3 linked regions of the Canis lupus familiaris genome follow. The protein of the gene in region 2 binds, or shares a complex with, the protein of the main gene of each other region. Links are inferred from orthologs where the notes say so. Each region holds a gene or a part of one and is shown on either strand. Other genes may lie near its edges. The genes, in order: COA1, SURF1 and SMIM20.

Region 1 (7,995 bases), on a different chromosome or scaffold from region 2:
TGAGATTTGTTTTATGAACCCCATAAAAGTGAATATTCTATGCACTTAAACAAGATATTTTGCTTTTTACAAAGTGTTCTATAAATGTCAATAGGTCAAGTTGGCTGATAATGTTTTTCAGTCTTCCATACACTTACAGTTTTGTCTAGTTCTATTAATTTCTGAGACATGAAGGTTAAAATCACCCATTGTAATTTTTTGTTTTTCTAATTCTCTTTTCACTTTTGGTTTCACATATATCAAACCTCCGCTATGCTGCATACAAGTTTAAGATTGTTATATCTCTTGATGACCTAATCTCTCTATCATCATAAAATGTTCCTATTTTCCACAACCAGCATATTTGGACAGACACAACTTTGATAACCAAACTATAGAAGATCCATGCAATTCCCCACAATGTATAGAACAAGCATAGACTTTGGATTAAAGGTGATATTCTATAAAAGATAAAAAAGAACTTTTCCAGGGTTAAAAATCAGGATATCACAGGGGGGTTTGTTTGTTTGTTTGTTTGTTTATTTATTTATTTATTTATTTATTTATTTATTTATTTATTTATTTATTTATTTATTTATTTATTTATTTTCAAATCTTTTTTTTTTTTTATTGGAGTTCAATTTGCCAACATACAGCATAACACCCAGTGCTCATCCCATCAAGTGCCCCCCTCAGTGCCCGTCACCCCCACCTCCCTTTCCACCACCCCTTATTCGTTTTCCAGAGTTAGGAGTCTCTCATGTTCTGTCTCCCTATTACCCACACATTTTCTCTCCTTTCCACAGGGAGATTTCTTATAAACAACCTAGTCAGTATTCAATTTCATGATGATAGTATTTAAGATTAAGAAAGAACACTGATTCCAACCTAGCTAATGTGAATTTCATTAGTGTCTCTGAGGCAAATATTATCTAGTTTATACCTACTTTTATGACAAGATGTAGGGGCATGCTCAATGCTTTGTGTCAAAATTTTTCCTATTCTCTTAGTAGCTGGGCACTTCCTTAATATGATAAAAGATAAAAGATTTACCTTAGTCTCCCAAGCCAGTAGCATACTTAATGGGAAAGTTCTAGAGATGTCCCGTTAAAGGTAGAATAAGACAAAGAAGCCTATACTATGTTCACTATTATTAAATATTTTTATTGGAAATAACTAGCCAATACAGTTAGATATGACAAATTAGTGGTATAAAATTTGGAAAGGATTTTGTCATCATCTCAATGACATGATTGTAATGATAGAAAATCTAAAAGACCCAACTCCAAACAATAAAATCACTTAGTTAGAATATTAATAAGCAGAAAATGATACTTTCGTGTATATGAACTACCATACGTAGAAACTCTAGTTTCATAGTTCTAGGCTGCTGCTGAGAGAGACACTAGACACGGTGGTTCCATCCTGTTGCTGTTAAGTGCATTTCTTAAAGCAACCATTTGACCACTTAATATCACCCCACAACTGACAGCACTCTAGTCAACCGTCTCTCATCTCTCCACCTCCTACCCCTGCCCTGGATCCTTAGAAGTTAACAGGTAGCAAAACAGATCCTTTCCTTATATATAGGAAAGACAGAAAGAGAGAGAGAGAGAGAGAGAGAGAGAGAGAGAGAATCCAGATAAGGATACTTGTGGCTCTAAGAAGTAGAATCCCTGTCTCAACAACAATAGCTAATAATTTTGGGCACTTACAACATTACTAGCGCTACCTAAACTCATTTTATCTTCACCTCTATCAGAAAATAAGGAAACGTATTAGATATCCCCATAAGAACTTCAGAAAGAGGGTGAGCTCCAGGTTTAAACGACATGAGATTACACTTGACTAGTCCGGTCATGTAACACATCAAATTTAGGGGACCCACCAATGCCGAGACCCTACTTTTTTGGAGGAAAGGTACCTGGACTTCAAACTTACGTGAAAAGAAAAAAAAGTCAATAATGATGGTAATAGTGGCGATAATCATGTGGGAAACAAAGGCAGAAGGAAAATTAATTCCCTCCCTACTTGCAGCCCATTGACGAGTCCTTGAAACGGGCGGAGTGACATTCTTCTACGGGCTCAGCGGCCCCCATGTTGGCTTTGCTAAGGGCAAAAGGGCAACCTTGGCCTGACCCGCCAGGACCCTGCAGGTCTTCTTTAACATATAAAAATTCCTTTGGAAACTTCCTTTATTTTTATTCTGGAGTCAAGATACATGTTAGCAACCATCTTCCAAGCACAGGACCTATGGATACGTATCTGGCGGGGGGGTGGGGGGGGTGGGGTGTCTTATGATCAATGTTTTCTTTTTTTATCTTTTTTTTTTAAGATTTTATTTGTTTATTCATGAGAGACACACACACACAACACGCAGAGACACAGGCAGAGGGAGAAGCAGGCTCTACGCAGGGAGCCTGATGCGGGACTCGATCCCACGACCCCGGGGTCACGACCTGGGCGGAAGGTGGCGCTAAACCGCAGAGCCACCCGGGCGCCCTAAGGGTTTATTAGACAATAATATATGACCTTTTCCCAACAATAACTAACGCCTTCAAGGTCCTGGCAACCTTGTTTCCAGAATTCCTTTGAAACTTACAGACTTAGAGACTATCGCCCCCCACCCCAAGTTGAAGGTGTATAATTACTACCCCTCACGACCCCATGCAGCTTTCTGTCCACAGGTCCTGTCAGTAGACGTTTAATGAAAACCACCTCTTGGGGATCCCCGGGGGGCTCAGCGGTTAAGCACCCGCCTTCGGCCCAGGTCGTGACCCCGGGGTCACGGGATCGAGTCCCGCGTCGGGCTCCTGCGTGGAGCCTGCTTCTCCCTCGGCCTGGGTCTCTCTCTCTCTCTGTGTCTATGAATAAATAAGTAAAATCTTAAAAAAAAAAAAAAAAACCCAAACCCACCTCTTTTGCACGGAAGTCCTCTCAAGAATTCTTCCTCAGCCGAGGGCTTCCCAGGCCGCCATCCTCCTACGCGGTGACGGCAGGACGACCAACAGGGCGGTGGGCACGGCTGCGGCGTACGACCGCGGAGGCCCAGACGCCACCTGAGCGCTTTACATCCTTGGAACAAACGCACCGGGTAAAAATGCTGTTACCGTTCCTCGCGCTACTTAACTCAAGTCGTCTACGTTTTTCTTTTTTTTTCTTCTTCTTCTTCTTGCCCTCGCATTCCCTGGAGCGCCGTAGGCATTTCGCAGCGATTGGATGGATAAGACTGTCGTGCTGCCGTGTGTCAGGCGAAGGCGGCGAGTGGGCTCCGCGGGGGCTGCCGCAGCGGCGCGGCGCGGGGCGGGACAGAAGGGCGGGCTCTGCGGGGCCCACCTCGCTCCCCGGGCGGGGCCGAGCGTCCGCGGCGGCCTCGGCCCGCGACTCCGACCTGGCCCGGCGTGCCCCGCCCCCGCCCCCGCCCCCGCCCCCGCCCCGGCGCGTCCGGACGCTCTAGCCCGCGGGGACGCCGCGCCGGAAGTCTCCGCTGCTCCTCGCGGGGCGGGCCGGCCTGGGGGCGCGCGTACCCGCACTTCCGCCCCCGGAAGGAAGGCAGGCGCGCGCTTCCTGCGGCGCGCGGTTGCGGCCCGGAAAGGTCAGCGCCCCCGCGGCTCCGAGCCTCGCGTTCCTTTCACCCTCGGAGACGTTTGTCGCCGCAGCCTGCACGGTTGCGTGTGTGTGTGTGTGTGTGTGTGTGTGTGTGTGCGCGACGGGGCTGCCGGCGGGGGTCTCCTCCCGGGGCTTGGTCGCGGGGGCAACCCGCCTGCTGCCTGCGTGGTGTCGGGGCCCCTGTGGGCGCAGCGCCCTAGGAGGCTGCAGGGGGCTGCCGGGTGCTGCAGGAGGCTGCCAGGGGCTGCAGGGTGCCCCCCTCGCCCGCCTGCCCCGGGGTTCGGGGGTTCGGGGCCGCCAGCAGGTGGCCCTGCCCCGCCCTAAGCTGCCCTACCCTGCCCTGCCCTACCCTGCCCTACCTAGCCCTGTCCTACCCTACCCTGCGCTGCCCTACCCTGCCCTACCCTGCCTGGCCCTACCCTACTCTACCCTACTCTACCCTGCCCGGCTGGCCCTGCCCTACACTGCGCCGCCCTACCCTACCCGGTCCTACCCTACCGTACCCTACCCTACTCTGCGTGGCCCTGCCCTACACTGCGCTGCCCTACCCTACCCGGTCCTACCCTACCCTACCCTACCCTACCCTGCGTGGCCCTGCCCTACACTGCGCTGCCCTACCCTACCCGGTCCTACCCTACCGTACCCTACCCTACTCTGCGTGGCCCTGCCCTACACTGCGCTGCCCTACCCTACCCGGTCCTACCCTACCCTACCCTACCCTACTCTGCGTGGCCCTGCCCTACACTGCGCCGCCCTACCCTACCCGGTCCTACCCTACCCTACCCTACCCTACCCTGCGTGGCCCTGCCCTACACTGCGCCGCCCTACCCTACCCGGTCCTACCCTACCCTACCCTACCCTACTCTGCGTGGCCCTGCCCTACACTGCGCTGCCCTACCCTACCCGGTCCTACCCTACCCTACCCTACCCTACCCTGCGTGGCCCTGCCCTACACTGCGCCGCCCTACCCTACCCGGTCCTACCCTACCCTACCCTACCCTACTCTGCGTGGCCCTGCCCTACACTGCGCCGCCCTACCCTACCCGGTCCTACCCTACCCTACCCTACCCTACCCTGCGTGGCCCTGCCCTACACTGCGCCGCCCTACCCTACCCGGTCCTACCCTACCCTACCCTACCCTACTCTGCGTGGCCCTGCCCTACACTGCGCTGCCCTACCCTACCCGGTCCTACCCTACCCTACCCTACCCTACCCTGCGTGGCCCTGCCCTACACTGCGCCGCCCTACCCTACCCGGTCCTACCCTACCCTACCCTACCCTACCCTGCGTGGCCCTGCCCTACACTGCGCCGCCCTACCCTACCCGGTCCTACCCTACCCTACCCTACCCTACTCTGCGTGGCCCTGCCCTACACTGCGCTGCCCTACCCTACCCGGTCCTACCCTACCCTACTCTATCTACCCTGCGTGGCCCTGCCCTACACTGCGCTGCTCTACCCTACCCGGTCCTACCCTACTCTGCGTGGTCCTGCCCTACACTGTGCTGCCCTACCCTACCCGGTCCTACCCTACCCTACTCTACCCTGCGTGGCCCTGCCCTACACTGCGCTGCTCTACCCTACCCGGTCCTACCCTACCCTACCCTACTCTGCGTGGCCCTGCCCTACACTGCGCTGCCCTACCCTACCCTGCCCTACTCTACCCTGCCAGGCCCAGTCGGCCCTGCCCTACCTTGCCCTACCCTGCCTGGCCCTCCCCTCCCCTGCCCTACCTGGCCCTACCTGGCCCTGCCCTACTCTACCCTACTCTACCCTGCCCGGCTTGGATGGCCCTGCCCTACCCTACCCTGTCCTACCCTACCCGGCCCTACCCTACCTTGCCCTACCCTGCCCGGCCCTGCGTACCTGAGAGCACATTTGTGAAGAGTGGGGCGTCCCCTCTGAGCGGTGGAATCGGGCACTTTGTTGATGGTCCTGAGTTACAACCCTGTGAGGAAGACCCTGCCTCGATGATCATAGAGAAGAATTTTCTGACAGTTGGTCATGGTGACTTTAGTCCCCATCACTCTTGAATTCCATGCAGGGTTCTGACAGTAGAAATGACTAGATTGTTGGAGACAAGGACATATGAGCATGTGTGAGCGTCAGTCGGTGTGTCGTGTATAATATTAAAAATCCGTAGATTCTTACACTTTGATACTTGTTCCTTGAATGTTCCTCATTCTTACTTGTGCTTTATTTCTAAGGCACTTTTTTCCCCCTCTATTTCATATTTGCATAGAAGTAACAAACCGGGCAGCCCAGGTGGCTCAGTGGTTGAGCATCTGCCTTTGGCCCAGGACGTGATCCCGGGGTCCCAGGATCCAGTGCTAGGTCGGGCTCCCTGCATGGAGCCTGCTTCTCCCTCTGCCTGTGTCTCTGCCTCTCCTCTCTGTGTATTCTTGTGAATAAATAAAATCTAAAAAAAAAAAAAAAAAGTTAACAAACCTCTGCTTAAACTCTGCACATAGAAAATCCATCTGATCGTGTTATTCCCATGCTCACAATCTTACCGGCCTTCCTGTTGATTCAGGGCAATGCGGATTCCTTAGCCCGGCTTCCAGACCTTTCAAGGTCTCCTTGCTGATGCTGAGTTTTTCAGTCTCCTTTGATGGAAAATACGCCAACACACACACCATATGCTCCAGCTACAGTATGTAGCAATTTCATTACTTTGGGTGTGACAAAGTTTTGCAATGGTTTACCTGCCTTTTGAAGTTTATTTTTCCATTTTGTCAGTTTATTGAATTCCTATAATTGCCAGGGACTGTCCTAAGAGCTAGGGATACGCTAGAAAGAAAATCCTTTTAAGAAGTAACAGCTTAATTGAGATAATAGTTCACATACCTGTAGCATTTACCTGTTTAAAATATACATTGAGTTTTAGTATATTTACAAAGTTGTGCAGTCTGTAATCAATTTTAAAGTATTTTCATCACCCCAGAAAGAAGCCTTGACCCATGAGGAATCTTCTGATTTTTTCCCCTACTCCCCCGAGCTCCTACCCCTATGCAGGTACTAATCTGCTGTCTATATATATGCCTATGCAGGCATGTTGTAACTTGTATCAGCGCTTCATTCCATTTTACTGCTAAATAGTATCTCATTGTATGGATATACTACCCTTTATCCATTGGTCCGTTGGTAGACCTTTGAGTATTGGCCATTATGAATACCGCTGCTAGGAACGTTCATGTCCAGGTTTTTGTGTAAACATCATCATGTTTTCATTTCTCTTGGGTATATACCTAAGATTAGAATTGCTCAGTCATATGGTAACTCTATGTTTCACATTTTGAGGAACTGCCAGACTTTTCCAAAGTGTCTATTCTGTTATATTCTGATTGGCGGTATATGAAGGTTCTAATCCTTTCATGTTGTCGCCAGCACTTGTCATTACCTGTTTTTTTTGTCTTTTAAAGATTTTATTTATTTATTCATGAGAGACAGAGAGAGGCAGAGACACAAGCAGAGGGAGAAGCAGGCTCCATGCAGGGAGCCTGACTTGGGACTCGATCCCAGGTCTTCAGGATCACGCCCTTGGCTGAAGGCCAGTGCTAAACCGCGGAGCCACCTGGGAGGGTAGCCCTAGATTACTTTTTAAGCAATTACTGCAACCAACGTGGGGTTCAGACTCACAACCCCGAGATCAAGAGTTGCATGCTCCACTGACTGAACCAGCTAGCTACTCCTGTAAGAGTTCTTTGTATATTCCAGGTCCTGTATCAGACATGTGACAAGTCTTGTAGATTGTGATATAATTCTTTTAAATAAAAATCACATGAGGTTAATTTTTACTCTTCTTGGAGACCAGGTTATAGGTCTGAAGGGGTGATGCAGAGAGTGAGTTGAACCATAACTGTTATGTGTAGAAAAGACCAGGCCCAGGAAAACATGCTGTCAAGAACCTGTGAGCAGCATTTTATTTTTATTTTTATTTTTTATTTTTATTTTTTTAAAGATTGTATTTATTTATTCATGAGAGACCAGAGAGAGAGAGAGAGAGGCAGAGACACAGGCAGAGGGAGAAGCAGGCTCCATGTAGGGAGCCTGACACAGGACTCAATCCCGTGACTCCAGGATCACGCCCTGGACTGAAGGCGGCGCTAAACCGCTGAGCCACCAGGGCTGCCCACAGCATTTTAATAGTTGAAAAATGGAGCAGGGGGGAACCAGTTTATGTAATTTGTCCATTCTCTATTGAGTTTTGTCTTTTCCTTATAGATTGGTAGAAGTTCTTTGTGTAGAGATATTAACCCATTGGCTGCTAGATATGTGGCAGATATTTTCAGTCTATTTGCCTGTTAACTTTGTTTTGTATTTCTTACTATACTAATGTTTTGCATTTTTGTGTTGTCAGGACTGCCCATCTTTTCCTATAAAAGGCTTCCGGGTGGCAGTTTGGGCTG
Region 2 (7,881 bases):
GAGCACTGAACCCCCCAGCCCTTCCCTGGCCTCAGGAGCCCCAGGGAGGGCTGCTGGGCCCTCACGCCGGAGCCACAAGGTCCCATGTAGAGGACTCAGTGAGGCCAGGAGCTCAGCGTGGCAGATCCAGATTGAGCCGAGATGAGGAGCAGGGTGGCACCGACGAGCCTGGCTTCTGAACCCTGCCCTGTGTGGGCATGGCTCCTGTCCATGCAGGCCCCTCAGAGAGGAGGGAGGGGACTGGGCCCCCTGGTCTGATGTCTGCTTCTGCCCTCCTCCAAGGACATATCCTCTGCCTCACCTCTGCCCCACAGGGCCTTGTGGCCACTGGGCTCTGCACCCGGGTCTCCTCTCTGCACTCCCAGCCGCTGGACCTATGAACCACCTACCCCAACATAGGATGAGTCTAGCCTGTGGGGAAACCCAGGACCTCCTTCCCGCCCACACCAAGCAGCCCTCAGTCTCTGCACCCGCGTAGGATGCCTGCTTCTCAGCTGTCCACAGCATCCCTCACTACTGTCCTGAGGTGAAGACTGTGCCTCGTTTCTTCCTGGGAGAAACCCCGCCTTCAGAGTTCTCTTCCTTATCCTGTCTCTGTGTCTGTCCCCAAAGCCCCTGGTCGTCCCAGCACTCCTAAAACTTCTGCCCCTGACCCCTCCACCTGGCTCTTCTCACCCTTCTGGGCTCCTTCGTGGTCAGGCCCAGCCCCATCCCTTCTTCCTTCGCTCCGTGTCGGTGATGTGCACCCTCTGAGCGCTGGCCCGACTTCAATAGCCACCGTCCCCCGACACAGGTTGAAAGGAACATTTCATTTCCTCAGGGGGTCTCTTATCCAGAGGCCACTTTCCAAACCGCCGGTCTTGAGCCAGGAATTGAGGAATCCAGGTGATTTCTGACCTCATTCCCTCACCTACTGATTCTAGCCACAGACAGTTCTGCCTGTCCGCATCTTCCCTACCCACAGTGGTGGTGCCACAGCCCTGCTTCTGTCCTTTCAATGCATCTCCACCTCCCGTGGTCCAGGCCATGGCCTCCAAGACCCCCTGTGGTCGTCTCCACCTCCCTTGCTGACTGACCTCCCCTTGCATGGTGGCATGGAGGCCGTCCTTCAGGAGCTGCGGCAGCCAAGCGTTCTTCTGACCTTGGCTGAATCCCTGCCTCTACTCTCCACAGACAGCCCTCGGCACCCGTCCTTCACAGCACGTAGCAGTCACCAGCCGCCTGCTTCATCCCCACCTCCAGCCCCATGCCTCCCCAGGGCTGGGCCCAGGGCACCACCAGCGGCTGCCAGTGGGTGACTGAGACGCCGCTGCTGCCTTCCAAGGGCGCTTGTCCTGGAGGAGAGAGCAGGCCGTGTCCACCCACGGCTACTTACATTCACACAGGGCTCTCTGGTACCGCTGGCCCTGGGTGTGCCTCAGCACATGCTCTGGGGACTTGTTGATGTGCCGCAGGGTGAGTTTGCAGAACAGCTGGTGCCTGGGGGACAGGGACAGTCATGAGGATCTCAGCCAGCCTGACAGCAGAGGCCTAGGATGGGGCCTGGGCAGCAGGCGGTCCCCTCTGCAGCCGAGGCGGACGAGCACTGGTCCGGCCGGGCTGTGACCTCCCGCGGTTGGCCTGGAACCCAGGCCTGGCCAGCCTCAGCGGCCCGCCCCCGCTCCAGGGATGCGGGAAGACGCGGCGGCCCGGCCGAGCGCGAAGCAGCAGCCCCCAGCGCCCTCTTCCTGTCAGCCCCTGCCCGCAAACAGCGGCGGCTCCACCCAAGTCCTCCCTAGGTATGTGAAACTGGCCCCATTCCGAACCCGAAGGGACAGACCTCGGCCCCACGAGAAGCAAACAGGCCGCGGGGAGGGGCCCGGCCTCCCCCGGCTGTCGGCTGCCGTCGGTACCTCACCACGGTGGGCACGTCCCCTCGGAGCCCGCCCGCAGCGGCCCCGCGCACGTACGGGTTCTTGGTGCTGGGCACGATGTGCGGCTCGAACTCCGCGTAGTCGAAGGCCGGGTTGGCGCGGACCAGCCGCCGGTATTTCTTGCCGCGGGTGTAGACCTCGAGCTCCGGCAGACGGCAGGGCAGCTCGTGGCCGGTGAGGACGCACTTGACCTGCGGGCAGGAGGGCGGGCGAGGCGGTCAGGGGGGCCCGGGCGGCCGCGCGGCGCCGCGCCTCTCCCCCGGCCCGCGGACCTTGTGCGCGCCGGGCTCCAGCCGCAGACTCGGGTGCTGGCGCAGGAAGGCGCGCACGGCGGCCGGAGGCTCGCCCATGGTCAGACCCGCAGGCGGGCGCCGCTCGCACCGCGTGGACCGTGCGCCGGGGGCGGGGCTCGGCGGTGCCCCGGAAGCAGATGCCTCGCGGCCCGGAAGTGCCGGCGGGCGATGGCGGCGGCCGTGCGGTGGCTGGGGCTGCGGGCGGCGGCGGCGGCGGCGGAGGGGCGGGTGAGCGGCGCGGGCGCGTCGGGCGGGCTGGGGGCCAGCGTCCCGGCTTGGGGAGCTCAGCCTGTGTCCCGGTCTCCGCAGGGCCCGCCCCGCGCGGTCAGGAGGAGCGTCCTTGCGGTCCCCCTGCGCCCAGGTGAGGACTGGCTCGCGGGTGCCCCGGGCGCCCGGGAAGAGCCGCCCCCGCCCCCGTCCCCGCCCCCGTCCCCCGCTCTGCCCGGGGGCCGCGGCCTTGAGGGGAGCTCGGAGCTGCCCCCTTCCAGCGCCTGATGGGGTTTGAAGGCCGGGAGCCTGGGACCCGCGGCCTGCGGGCTGCGCGTGCACCGACAGCCGGGAGCGGGGCGCCGCGCGAGGGGGAAGGGTGCTCGTCAGCGCGCTGCAGCCTTTTTTTTTTTTTAAACTGTCCACAAAGCCCGTGTTGCTGACTTGAGACTCACGCTCCGACAACTAAAATATACTTTCTGAGTACGTTGTTCCAGCTTTAAGTTTACGAGCAGTGGAAAGGAAGGTGTTCGAGCGCCGTGAGCCGTGAGCCGCGATCCCGGGTTTTCACGGTTCTGCCTCTGCGCGGGTGCGTCTTAGTGCAATGTATTGTTGTGCACAATGTCGTGCACAATGTAATACATGTGCACATAGTGCGCAGGGAATTGTTGTGTAAAAGGCGCAGGTGGTTACAGGAGTTACCCGGGGTCACAGCTGGTGGCACAGCAGGACTAAGCCCTAGGCCGTGTTTATTCAGTCAGTAAACATCACCGAGTGTGCAGCGTGTGGCCCCAGTTTAGAAGCTGGGCTGGACGCAGGTGTCACTGGTTGGCTGCTGGCCACAGGCTGTGGCCTGTTTACTGTCTGGCAGTAGTGGTGGCGTCTCCTTGAGGGATTGGCTGCTCCCATTCTATTTGTCAAGGGCTTCTGACCCTGGGCCTGTGGTGTTGAACTTCCCAGGGTTGGCCTGGAGGCCAAGCAGGTGTGGCAGTTCTGCAGCTGAAGCACCTGCCACAGAAGCACAAGAGGACTCCTTCCTCCAGTGGTTCCTGCTTCTCATTCCTGTGACAGCCTTTGGCCTGGGGACATGGCAGGTAAAGCCTGACTTCTAGCTCTGGAGGCTCTGAGCTTTTGCCGTTGCTGCCATCTGCTCGGGTTTGTACTGTTCCCACAGGTCCAGCGTCGAAAGTGGAAGCTGCAGCTGATAGCAGAGCTGGAGTCTCGAGTTATGGCTGAGCCCATCCCTCTGCCAGCAGAGTGAGTGTGCAGCTGCCCACCTGTAACTGGTCTCACTTGGTCAGCAGTGGGGGCCTGGCTTCTGCTTGTAGTCCTGACCCTCACATGGGAGCCCCTAAATCAAGTTACCTTACTGGGCGTCCTGACAAACTTAGAAAAATATCTTTGATCCTGGATTTTACCTTTTTTTTTTTTTTTGAGATGCATTGTACCTGAGGCATCCCCCACAGTGCTGATGGGCCCCCTATAGCAGTGACTCTTACCTGATAGGTGAAGGAGGGCAGAGTGTACCCTCATGTCATGTCTTAACATCAGAGCGTTATCTTGAAAGAGTGCTGGAAATGATTCTACAGCGTCTACCCCTCGTTTCAATGCACTGTCTTGGAGCAACAGTCCACAGAGCTTCCCATTCAGGGGAGCAGACGTGTGTGCTGTATTTGTAATAGTGTGCAGGCCTGGAAGGATTTGAATGTCCTGCCAAAACTTGCTTGGTCTCAGCCTCACTTCTCCCCACTCCCATGTAGCCCAATGGAACTGAAAAATCTGGAGTACAGGCCGGTGAAGGTCAGGGGGCACTTCGACCACTCCAAGGAGCTGTACATGATGCCTCGGACCATGGTGGACCCAGCCAGGGAGGCCCGGGAGGCCGGCCGTCTCTCTTCCTCGCCCGAGAGTGGTGCCTATGTCATTACCCCCTTTCACTGCACTGACCTGGGGTGAGTGGGACATGCAGGGATGAAGCAACCTTGGGGAAATCTAAGAGACCCAGAAGGTTTCAGTTTCCTTAAGAGTTTGGAATTAGTACTTGACTTCGCTAAGCCCATTCATTTCAGCTCTTCCTGAGTCATTCATCTGTGTGAAACTCTGAAGCAAATGAAATCAGCCACCTTGGAGACTGTGTAGTGGCCAACACACTAAATGATCATAGTGCAGTACGAGGTGGGGGCTTGTGTGAGGACTGAGGGAAGGGAAAGGAAAGGAACCAAACCCTCACTTGGGTGGAATCAGGGAAGGGTTCCCAGGTGACCACTTGGGCCACAAATGGAGTCAGGAGGGGAAGGGCAGTCCAGGGAAACAACCTGTCCAGCAAGGGGGCACTGTGAGCTCAGCCAGAGCAATTTCCTGGCTTCGGGTGTGGGAGGGTCTCTGCGACCCCACAGGCAGGTCCAGAAGGCAGCTGCTCTTCAGAGAAGCTGCTATCCGAAACCTGGGTGTTGCAGTGGCTGAGGCACAGGGAAGTGGAGATGGGGGGTGGGCACACCTGCATGAGAAAGGAAGACCTTCCCAGTGGCGTACCTGCAGGCTAGCCTCGTCTTAAACCATCTCAGACACCATCCTTGTTCTCATAGGGATGACCAGTGATAATCTTTATTCAAAGATCCTTTCCCGCCCTGAGAGCATACTTCTATTTATTCCAGAGTCACCATCCTGGTCAACAGAGGGTTTGTCCCCAGGAAGAAAGTGAATCCTGATACACGGCAGAGAGGCCAGGTGAGGAGCCTGAACCTTCCCTTGTAAGCAGGGCTGTCTAGAAACCGCCAGCCCTGAAGAACAGTCTTGGTTTCCTTTGTAGGTTGAGGGAGAAGTGGACCTAGTTGGGATGGTGAGGCTGACAGAAACCAGGAAGCCCTTTGTCCCAGAGAACAACCCAGAAAGGAACCACTGGCATTACCGGGACCTGGAGGCAATGGCCAGGCTCACAGGCGCAGACCCCATCTTCATCGATGCAGACTTCCGTACGTTGTGGGCGGCCTGCCTTTCTTTCAGCCCTGGACATGGCCGTTACTTCCTGCTGTCTGCATTTTAGCGTGTGGGAGGAGTGTCTGGTGGGCACTAAGGAAAGGAGGCCACAGGGTCTAGTTACAGGTCCAAGGCCTCACTGAATTTGACAGCTCTAAAGAGCTCTGGAAGGCCCCATGGAGACAGCTGGCCAAACTGCCCTAGGGATTGTGGACACTAAACCCACCGTCTCTGCAGAGAGCACAGTCCCCGGGGGACCCATTGGAGGGCAAACGCGAGTCACTCTGAGGAATGAACACATGCAGTACATCCTCACCTGGTAAGTCCCTGCCTCTGGCTGTTCCCTCCTCTTCCCCTTCTAAACCCTGACTGCTCATCTCTTCAACCCAACCAAGGTATGGCCTCTGTGCAGCTACATCCTACCTATGGTTTAAGAAATTCCTACGTCGGACTCCTGGTGTATGATCTACTGAAGTAGCTCCGCTCCTCTCCTGAATAATCACTAAGTCACAGATTTTCTAAGCTTTCTTTTTAAAGATTACGTGGGTTAGGTATGAGTGGTATGAATAAATCCATACAGTACACATGCCGTGCCTGCCTTTTCTACCTATGCAACGATCTGATCATAATCAGTGGGTTCAAGTACCATGTACCAATGTGTGGGTGAGCTGCTTGTTCAGAACCATCACCTTGCACCCCCCCACATAGCACGTCTTCTTCCCCCAACTCCCGCCCTGCACCAAATCCAAATCCTGGATTTTAACAACTCTAACTTAAGTAACAAGATCAAGTATATTCAACCCCAAATACCCACTGACACTCTCACTGAAAGAGAACCTTTTATTACTTTTATGTACAGAAAATTCAACAGCGTCCACTTAGCCCAGCTTGGTGGCCAGTTCTTTAGCCTTTGCTTTTTCCAGCTTGGCGATGCGAGCCACTGACTTCGGACCCAGGACATTGCCTCCCCAGTGGCGGCGGATCTGCAAAGACACAGGGGTCAGCATCTGCCGTCGAGGCTCCCACTATGCTAGCTCATGCGGTCTTCTACTGGAGTGCTTAGGAGGGCAGAGTCAGCCAGTCCTCTCACCAATGACTTACCTCATCGTATCTGTCATTGTAATTGGTCCGGATGGCTTCTACCAGCTTAGCCAGAGCTCCCTTGTCTTCCCTAAAAAGGCAGGGGAAAATCTGGGTCATTAGCTTCTCTTCTCAGTTACCTTCCAAAAACCAGGGAGGACTTGCTGACCCAACAAGCCCTTTGCCTCAGATACAGTATGACCACATGGCTGGTTCAGGTGAAGAAATTCGTAACCATCATTGGCAAAGATTTAGACAGACACGCTCCTTTAGAAAAGTATGACGTTTGATCTTTAAGGTAAAATCCTAAAGAAATTAAGGGAACTGGGTGTATGGGGGGGTCCCTGACCTCCACTGGCTGTTGGGAGTTTGGAGCCATCTTGCATACTTACGAGTTAACCTGTGTGAAGGCGACAGTGGTGCAGGTCTTCCTGTGGACCAGACGCCCCAGCCTGGCCTTCCCCTTGATAATGCAGTAAGGAACCCCCATCTTACGACACAGGGCAGGCAGGAAGACAACCAGCTGGAAGACAGAGTTAGCTCTAGAGTGTATTTTGACCGAAACGGTAACTTAAAACCTAACTCTGTAACAACTGCTGAGGATTAAACTCCTGGATTTGCACTTCAAGGTTTAATTCAGTAAGAAATCCACATCATCGTAATGGCTATCACGCGGATCCCTCGTCAGTACCGTCCTCAATAGAAAGCGGTCACCCCACCTTGGCCCAACGTGCCGGACAACATTCAGCTTTAGCCTTCCCGATACCAACATAAAGACCCAATCTAGGCTCGATAGTGGATACTTCGACGTACCTCAATGGGATCCACGTCGTGAGCTATCACTACCAGCTGAGCCTTCTTGTTTTCCACCAAGGTGGTGACAGTGTTAACCCCTAGGACACAGAACCCATTAGCCTGAGCAGTCCGTGGGGGCTGCTAGGTTCACAAAAGCCATCCTACTACTCTGGGCCCGGCTGTGACTCAGGGTTAAAAAGCTCGATTTTACTCTTCACAGAGATTCCAGGTGAAGAAATTCCTGCATCATTGTCAACAGCCGGCCCCACCACTCACCCCTGGAGAAGGGGCCCACTCACCAGCTCGAAGGACAGGCGGCCTCTTAGTGGGGACATCCCCTTTGCCGGCAGCTTTCTTCTCGGCCCGGGCCAACAGCCTCTGCTTCTTCTCTTGCTTGGTCTCTGGTCTGTACTTGTGGGCCAGCTTAAGCAGTTGTGTAGCTGGAAAAGTCACGGTTTAGGCTTGTGTTTTAGGCTCTGGTCTGTGCCACCTGACCTCACGCTAGGCCACTGTCCCCTCACACTGTGTAGTGATCCCTTCAGCGGCACCACCCCCTACCCTCGGGTCCCAGGAACTAGAGATTTCCTACGTTATGATAACCTGACGTACTCGAAAAC
Region 3 (7,860 bases), on a different chromosome or scaffold from region 2:
GGCAAAGAGGAACAATCAGTGACTATAAAACCCTGATGGTACTGACTGGAGAGGAATAAACACCGGGAGTGCTGTGCGGTCCAAGGACCAAGGCATTCTCCTCAGGTCTTTGTATAGGAGGATAAGGATACTGACTAACTTTAAGCAGTAATCACAAAATAATCAAAAAAGAATGTAAAACTTAAAAAAAAAAAAAAAACAGAGGAGGTAAAAAGTAGAGAAACCGTGAAGGCAGAAATGGAGAGAAAAGAAGGAGTTGTAGATATAGAAGGATAAATAGAAAACACAGAACAAGACAGGGCAAATAAATCTATCAGTAAACATATATGAAAATTAGCTCAATCCAGCAGTTGAAAGAAATGACCAGATTGGATTAAAAAATCCAAGTTAGGCTGGTTATGAGATTTAAGGACAGATGCCAAGCGCTGCCTGGGTGACTCAGGCAGTTAAGCATCTGACTCTTGATTTCGACTCAGGTCATGATCTGCGGGTTGAGATCGAGCCCTACATTGGACTCCCCACTCTGGTGGGGGTGGGGGGAGTCTGCTTGTCTCCCTCTCCCTCTGCCCCTCCCCCTGCTGTCTTTCAAATAAAAAAATCTTTAAATAAATAGATAAATAGATAAATGAATGAATGAATGAAGAAAGAAAGAAAGAAAGAAAGAAAGAAAGAAAGAAAGAAAGAGAAAGAAAGAAAGAAAGAAAGAAAGAAAGAAAGAAAGAAAGAAAGAAAGACAGACAGACAGACAGGCACAAATATAAGAAATATACCAGGAAAGTCTAACCAAAACAATGCTGGTAATTCTAATATTGATATGATAGACCTGGAGAGGAACAGGAGGGATAAAGAGGACCCTTTATACAATGATAATTGGAAAAAAGTCTCCAGAACATTCTCTATCGTGTGCACCTAATAATATGGCCTGAGGATACCTAAGTAACAGAATTAAGAAGCTTGGTCTGGAATCGGTGCACACAGAACTCTGTACCCAACAATGAGATATACCCACTTCAAGCACAGAAGGAACACTTCCATAATTGACCTGTATTAAGCCCACAGAGCAAATCCTGACCAATATCAAGGAATCAAAATCATATAGTCCTCATTCTTTAACCACAAATGCAAGTAAAGTAGAAATTGGCAACAAAAGAGCAACCAGAGAAAATTAGCAACTGTGACTGCTGGGTAGGGAATCAGGATTTGGGCTTGGCAGAAGCAGGGAGACCAGCTCAGAGTCTAAGGAGCGGGTGAAGGAAATGGGTTGGATGACGGTGGGGACAGTGAGACGGACAGAAGCGCTCTGACCATCTTGTACAGTCACGTATACCCGACACCTAACGCAGTACCAGGTACACAGCCGTTGCTAAAATCCAGGTTATAAAAAATGCAAAGACTAGTCCAAGGTGCTGAAATGAATTGCAGCTCCATCCTCCCTACAGACAGGCCAGGCTTCCATGGCCCGGTCACCAATGCCTCACCTGCCTGGACCCCAGGTTAGTGACAGGTCAGCCAGCCGGGCTTAAATCTCCTTACATCCTTGCCTTATAGCTCCTCTTTTTTTTTTTTTTTTAAGATTTTATTTATTTGACAGAGAGAGAGAGTGTGTGTTCACGCATACAAACACACAAGCAGGGGGAGCGGCAGGCAGAGAGAGGGAGAAGCTTGGAGCCCCATGTGGGGCTCAATCCCAGGACCCCAGGACCCCAGCCCAAGCCAAAGGTAGATCCTCAACCCACTAAGCCACCCAGGTGCCCTGGTTCCTTATTTTTTTAAACATTTTTAGGGGATGCCTAATATAAAACTATACTAGATGTTTCCATACCTGTGATCTCATTTAATACACCCAACACCTATAGATTAAGGCCTGCAAAGTCCACTGCTACAGATGAAGAAACAGACTGGGCTCAGGCAGGTTACGTAACTCACCTTAAGACCCTTATCTTGCAAGGGATTTAGACCCTCACCTGCCCTGCTTCCCTTCTCACCGCCTCAGAAACCAAATGGTGCCCTCGTGTAGTGAAAGAGCACATTGGTTCCAATCCCAGGTCTGACCCATCTGCTGTGGGTCCTTGTACAAGTCACTTAACTGTCCCAGACCTCAGTGTGTCCACGTATAAAATGTGGGTGATGATCACACAGCAGCTACAACAAATGGTTATGAAAACTATGTGGGTTAATATATATATGAGGTGCTGGGAAGAGAGGCAGACATAAACTCTCAAAAAACACTAGCTGTTTAGTATTTACCTGTTGAAAGAATCAGCTATGAGTCTCAAATAAGAGTCGGCCAATTAACTAAAACTGAGCCAGAAAGGTGGGCAGGCATAGACTGACTGCTCTCGAGTTAAAATGCAGACATTTTAGGCACACTCAGTAAACATGCACCTAAAAGCCCTGATTTTGTCTCAAGCAACTCAGACAACCACAGATTCTAGGGTATCCCTATGAGACTATTGTCAGAGGGATCCCTGGGTGGCTCAGCGGTTTAGCACCTGCCTTCGGCCCAGGGCATGATCCTGGGGTCCCGGGATCGAGTCCTGCATCAGGGTCCCTGCCTGCATGGAGCCTGCTTCTCCCTCTGCCTGTGTCTCTGCCGTTCTCTCTGTGTCTCTCATGAATAAATAAATATTTGAAAAAAAAGTTAAAAAAAAAAAAAAGACTTGCCAGGACGCGTGGCACAAGTCCACGCCTTCATCATCTGATCTAGCATGTCTCAAGCTTGGTACCATGCACACCTGGGCTGGGTAATCTAGGTCATGGGGGGCTCCCCTGTGCGCTGCGGAGGTTTAGCAGCATCCCTGGCCTCTCTCCACTGGATGCCAGTAGCACACTCACACTACCCCACTCCACCCCCAGCTGTGACAAGCAAAAATGTCTCCAGATGGAACCAAATGTCCCCTGGGGGACAAAAGCATCCCCAGCTGAGAGGCACTGCGTTTGTCTTCCTGGCAGACACCTTTCCAGTGGGATCTGGAGCAGAGCCCCTTGTCCCAAGTTCAATCCTAGATGCCCTAGTAAGAAAACAGCCTGGGGCAGGATCGGGTCAGGATGACGGAACCAGACCACGCGGGGCTTCAAGCGCCCCCCCGTTTATCCTCAGGCACACGGGTAGGTGGACGCAGGCTGGGAGGCAGCATGCAGAGGCCACCTCGGTCCTGGGTGATGAAAGAAGCTCCAGGGCAATGCGGGTGTGTGCTTAAAATGCTCTGCCTCCAGAAACCAAATGTAGCATTTGTAACGGGCAGAGCATTTACACAGAGCTGCTGCCTTCACATCGCCAAGCTCTCAGCCTCTGCTAATGGTCTCCAGGGGCAGGGCTGGCCCTCTTCCATCTTCAAGATGATTCAGGTTTCCTGGAGAACAAAATGAGCCTCTAATGCCTAATATTTTCTCTCTGACAGATGGTTTCAGATGTATCAAAGTGCTAATCCTCGCTGAGGTATAGGTCTCCAGGAAGGAGAGTTTGGCTTTTAGGATGATAGAACTTGAATGATTAAGGAGGAAAATTACTCCCGGGGTATTGGGCATTGTCATGTGAGCAACCCGCTTTTAAAATGAAGGAAGACAGCAGGAGCTGAAAAAAAGATGTGGGGAAAAACTCAAAACACCCAGGTTTAACAGTGTAGGTCTGAAACATTTCCACTCAAAGCTGTCCCTGGGAGTGGCAACGAAGGGCCGTAAAGACACCTTCAGGCTCAGGATGATCAGGGCTCCATCTGCCTCCCTCCAGTATCACCAGCCCCGCCTTCCGGGGAGGGAAGACCTGCCTCGCAGCTCACTGGCTGTGCGACCTTGGGCCTGTCGCACGACCTCTCGGAGCCTCAGTGTTCCCGCCTGTCAAATGGGCATGACGACGACCTCAAAGCGACGCCGTGGGCGTCAGAAGTGGCAACGCTTGGGGCTCCTGCCTCGGGCTGTGGGGGGGGGGGTGACCCCGCGGCAGGGCCTGCGGCTCTGCTCCCCGCCCCCCCCCACTCAGTGTGTGTGTCTTTCGTGAATAAATAAATACATCTTTAAAAAAAAAAGTGCCAACGCTCGTTTGGCTGGCACGTGAGCGTCCGGCCCCTGCTCCCCGAGAGCGCGGACAGGTAAGCGCTGCGGACCACGACGAGGCCACCTGGGAGTCTCCACGGAGGCCAAACGGGTCTCACGTTAGCGACGACCGGGCAAGTCAGGAGGGCGCCCGGGGGGAGGCGCGGGGTCTCGCGGCCGCTCGGCGCAGGGCTCGGCCCGGCCCGCCTGCCCCCCGCGCCCAGCTCCTCACCGCCCCGAGCCGGGCGCCCCGAGGCCGGGCCCCCGCGGGGTCACAGGGCACTCACGGTACTCCTCCGGCAGCAGCAGGGGCCGGAAGTAGATGGGGTAGAAGGCGGCGCCCAGCAGGGAGATGAAGCCGCCGAAGATGAGCGCCGTGCGCAGGTTCGGGGACATGGCGCTGGGCCCGGGCTGCCCGCACCCCGCGAGACCCCGCGAGACCCCGCGCGCCGGGCCGTGACCCCGCTCGGAAGAGGCGGAGCGGCTTTCGCTTCCGGGCCTTGGGGGCGGGGCCAGGGCACGGGGGCGGGGCCTGCGGGTGGGCCGGCTCGGGGCGGGGCCTGCGTGGTGGGCGGGTCGGGGGCGGGGCCTGCAGAGTGGGAGGGACGGGCCCGTCGGGGTGGGCGGAGCCTGGGGTGGGACCTGCGGGTGGGCGGGGCCGGAGGCGGGGCCTACAGCGTGGACGGGGCGGGGCCTGTGGGTGGGCGGGGCCTCGGAGCGGCGGCCGCGGTGCTGGGGGCTGGGCCGGCCGAGAGGGACTCTTGCTCCCCTGGGCGGTGCACACCCTGTTCCAACCCCCGCCCTGCCCGCGGCCCGGCCCCCCCTCCGCTGCTCCCCCCGCCATTCTCCGGACCTCTTGGGTCACCCTTTCCCCTCGACCAGCCGCGCTTTCCCCTTCTCCCCACCCTTATCTGATTTCGGTGACTTTCCGCCCCGAGCTGCGTGCTGTCCGCGGCTCGCTGATTCAGTCCCCCCGGCTGTGGGCCCATTTTACAGGTGAGGGAAGCGCGGCTTCACGAGTGACCGCGCCTCCTGGAGGGCTGCTGGAGGGGGTGAGGGGCCCGGGGCCGCGCGCCCGCCCCGGATGGCCTGCAGGGGGCGTCTAACCCGAGCACCGGGACTACGGGATCAGGACTAGGGGGGAGGAGTCTCGTGTCAACGTCGGGACGGCAAGTAGATCCGTCCTGCCTCCGCCTGCCCGCTCCGTTCCCTCTGCTGCACGTCTGGGTTGCGAATGAGGATGGGGAAGGAGTCGGATCCGGGCAAGGCGGGGAGCCCGCGGCCAGTCCCAGTGATGGGACCTTGGGGCTGTGCCTTACTGCCTGGGGTGGGGCCGCTGAGGTTGGACGTGCTCCTCCCCTTCCTAGGGTCGCCGTCCTCCGTCCTTCCTGGGGGTAGGCGGCGCTGTGGGGGCAGGCGAGGTGCCCAGGGGTACGGAGCGGCGGAGATCAAGGTTTCTTGGGCCTTCACTCAACCCTTTATGAATAAGGATGCTACCAGCGGCCCGGGCCGGGAGCAAGAGGCTAGTCATCCGGACCCCGGCGGTATTATTTAGTCTGCAGAGACGTACGGTCTTTCAGCACAGGTGTCCTCTCCGTGGAGCGTTGTCGCGGAGCCAAGCTACCGTCTGCCTCCGAGGTTCCGCGAGCAGATAAATCAGGTGTTGGATCCGTCGGCAGATTTATGGACCCTCTGCCGTACCCCAAACACCAGGCAAAGTGCTCCGAGGGACGCAAAGATGAATAAGCCGTGACCCTTTGCTCCCCGGGATCCTGCCACGTGGATAGAGACAGGACAGATACAGAAAAAGATGACTGAGGAGGCGGCGCAGCTTGTTGCGGATGAGTGATAGGGTCCTGCGGCCGCGGGACTTCCAGGAGGAAGACAGATGACTACAGGGGTTGGCAGCAGCTCCTCGGGGCTTGCGGGGGCTTGTTAGGGTGAGAACAGAGGACTCCTCCAGCAGAGAGGGGAGCTGGGATGCATATGCTTTGTGTCCCGTGATATAAAACCCCAGGTGAGCGCGCCTTTGTCATGTTAGCAACCGGGAGGCCACTTGTCTTCCTGTTAATAGCACCCGAGCATCTTGGCAAACCACTCCTCTCCCATTCAGTCGAGGAGGTAAACTGGGCTTCTCCTCTGCCCCACCCCCACCCCAATGATTTTTTTTTTTTTTTCCAGCTCTGAGAGGTCAGGGGATCGCCAAGAGTGACCAAGCTGCCACACCACAGGGATTGATTGGGACAGGGCCCAGGCCTGGTCGTCCAGCGAAGCCGCATCCTCCTGGCTGCATGACCTCACCCACGTTGAGCCAACCATAGTGTCTCCCAGCTGCTGGAAATCTGGATTTGAGCTTGAGGGGATCAGACGCTGGGGTCACTGGGCACCACCATATGGAGACTGAGCGTGAGGACAGTACAGCAGAAGCAAAGCCGAGAGATGGAGAGAAATCAGGTGCTGACATTACCTTTGAGCCCCTGGAGCGGGCTGTGCCTGGAAAAGGAGCTGCCCTTGGACTTCTCAGTGATAGGAGCCAATGAAGTTCCCTTTTCGCTGAAGCCAGTTTGACTTATTTTGTTTTGTTTTGTTGTTTGTTTGTTTTTGTTTACAACAGGAGTTCCAGATGAAGTCACCGCGAGTGGGATTTCGTTTCCTTGACAGATCCACGGGCTGCAAGTCAAGGATTACTCTATAGCTCAGGTCACTGAGATCCAGAAACTTCTCTTAGGGCCACACACCATTAGCTGAGCCAGGACCAGGGTTTAGTCTTCATTCCTAATCTGACAGGCTCCTCCCTGAGACCTGGCCGTCTCCATAAGCAAGCTTGGCAGGGTGGCTGCATGAGCCCTACACACAGGAGCCTCTGAAAGCCAGGCTAGAGACCGCCAGGATGACCTCCTGTCCGCAGTGCCTCCAAGGCACAGATGGATTAATGTGGGACAGATGAGCCACCCCCTCTCCAAGCAGCAAGTAACCGCAGGGCTTCTCTGTCCCCTGATGTTCATGTAAACGTTTTAGTCTGACCAGCGGCCAGGCCACAACCTATACAGACACACTCATCACCTTGCTAGCATCGTCACACCAAAAATTACTTACCTCTTGCTTGCCACTGAGTCCTAAGCAATACAGGTTCATCTCTTTGAACCCCAGGTTCTCCCCGTTTCTGAAGACCCCACTGACCTACAGATTCAATCGGCAGATCCTTATTGTGTGCCGACTCCAGCCAAGCACTGCACTAGTTGATTGGGAACACAAAAAGGAAGCATCAGCACTTGTGTATTTGACAAAGGTTTACTGAGCCAAGCACCGTGTGCCAGCCACATTTCAAAGGCTGGTGGATGCAGCCAGCAGCGAATTCACAAGAGAGTCTGTTGTCCTCGTGGCACCTATGGTGTGGTAGAGGGATATGACGAGGCAGTGGGTCGTAATTGCTTTTGGTCACTCAACCTTGCTGAATATTAGCTCCTGATTCCCCATTTGTGTAGGGAGAAGCTGGGGGCAGAGCAAGAATGACGAGCCCAGGAGCCACTAAATAGTAGAGTCAGGATTCAAATCCCATCCCGCTGACTCCAGAGACCTGCATTATCACCAGTGTATGCTGCCTCGCAAAGTCAGTGAGTTCATATTGTCTGAGTGTGGGTACAATTCCAACCACGTCCAATTGCTCCTTTTCTCCCAGAAATAAGAATTGTGAACGTGGGAACCCAGAGACAGGCAACACTACTGCGGTGAATTTCTTCGCACTGCTAATGTCCCGATGAGATGACCGCTTGTCTTCCACTTACCTGTAATCCCAGAGATTCTCTTCTTGCCCCTTGCAGTCTGATT

The links.
Region 1: SURF1 (region 2) and COA1 share a complex: the UniProt entries of both Homo sapiens proteins name them as parts of the MITRAC (mitochondrial translation regulation assembly intermediate of cytochrome c oxidase complex) complex. The link is inferred for Canis lupus familiaris from reciprocal best matches to the Homo sapiens genes SURF1 and COA1.
Region 3: SURF1 (region 2) and SMIM20 share a complex: the UniProt entries of both Homo sapiens proteins name them as parts of the MITRAC (mitochondrial translation regulation assembly intermediate of cytochrome c oxidase complex) complex. The link is inferred for Canis lupus familiaris from reciprocal best matches to the Homo sapiens genes SURF1 and SMIM20.

What each region holds. Positions count from the first base shown.
Region 1 is NC_049239.1:6,613,292-6,621,286, forward strand, and holds the start of COA1 (cytochrome c oxidase assembly factor 1 homolog), read left to right. Parts: upstream 1-3,054; 5' UTR 3,055-3,073; exon of another isoform or gene 3,074-3,309; intron 3,310-3,489; exon of another isoform or gene 3,490-3,574; intron 3,575-5,452; coding exon of another isoform or gene 5,453-5,464; exon of another isoform or gene 5,465-5,479; intron 5,480-7,995. UniProt on the Homo sapiens protein: Component of the MITRAC (mitochondrial translation regulation assembly intermediate of cytochrome c oxidase complex) complex, that regulates cytochrome c oxidase assembly.
Region 2 is NC_049230.1:49,840,605-49,848,485, reverse strand, and holds SURF1 (surfeit locus protein 1), read left to right. Parts: upstream 1-2,521; 5' UTR 2,522-2,567; intron 2,568-2,868; exon of another isoform or gene 2,869-3,002; intron 3,003-3,373; 5' UTR 3,374-3,507; intron 3,508-3,587; 5' UTR 3,588-3,641; coding exon 3,642-3,670; intron 3,671-4,173; coding exon 4,174-4,365; intron 4,366-5,067; coding exon 5,068-5,140; intron 5,141-5,222; coding exon 5,223-5,385; intron 5,386-5,626; coding exon 5,627-5,708; intron 5,709-5,784; coding exon 5,785-5,854; 3' UTR 5,855-5,976; downstream 5,977-7,881. Other genes in the region: SURF2 (surfeit locus protein 2), read right to left, coding at 1,376-1,479, 1,893-2,104, 2,186-2,263; RPL7A (60S ribosomal protein L7a), read right to left, coding at 6,268-6,372, 6,491-6,560, 6,862-6,992, 7,283-7,362, 7,564-7,704. UniProt on the Homo sapiens protein: Component of the MITRAC (mitochondrial translation regulation assembly intermediate of cytochrome c oxidase complex) complex, that regulates cytochrome c oxidase assembly.
Region 3 is NC_049224.1:85,085,687-85,093,546, forward strand, and holds the start of SMIM20 (small integral membrane protein 20), read right to left. Parts: upstream 4,506-7,860; 5' UTR 4,429-4,505; coding exon 4,320-4,428; intron 1-4,319.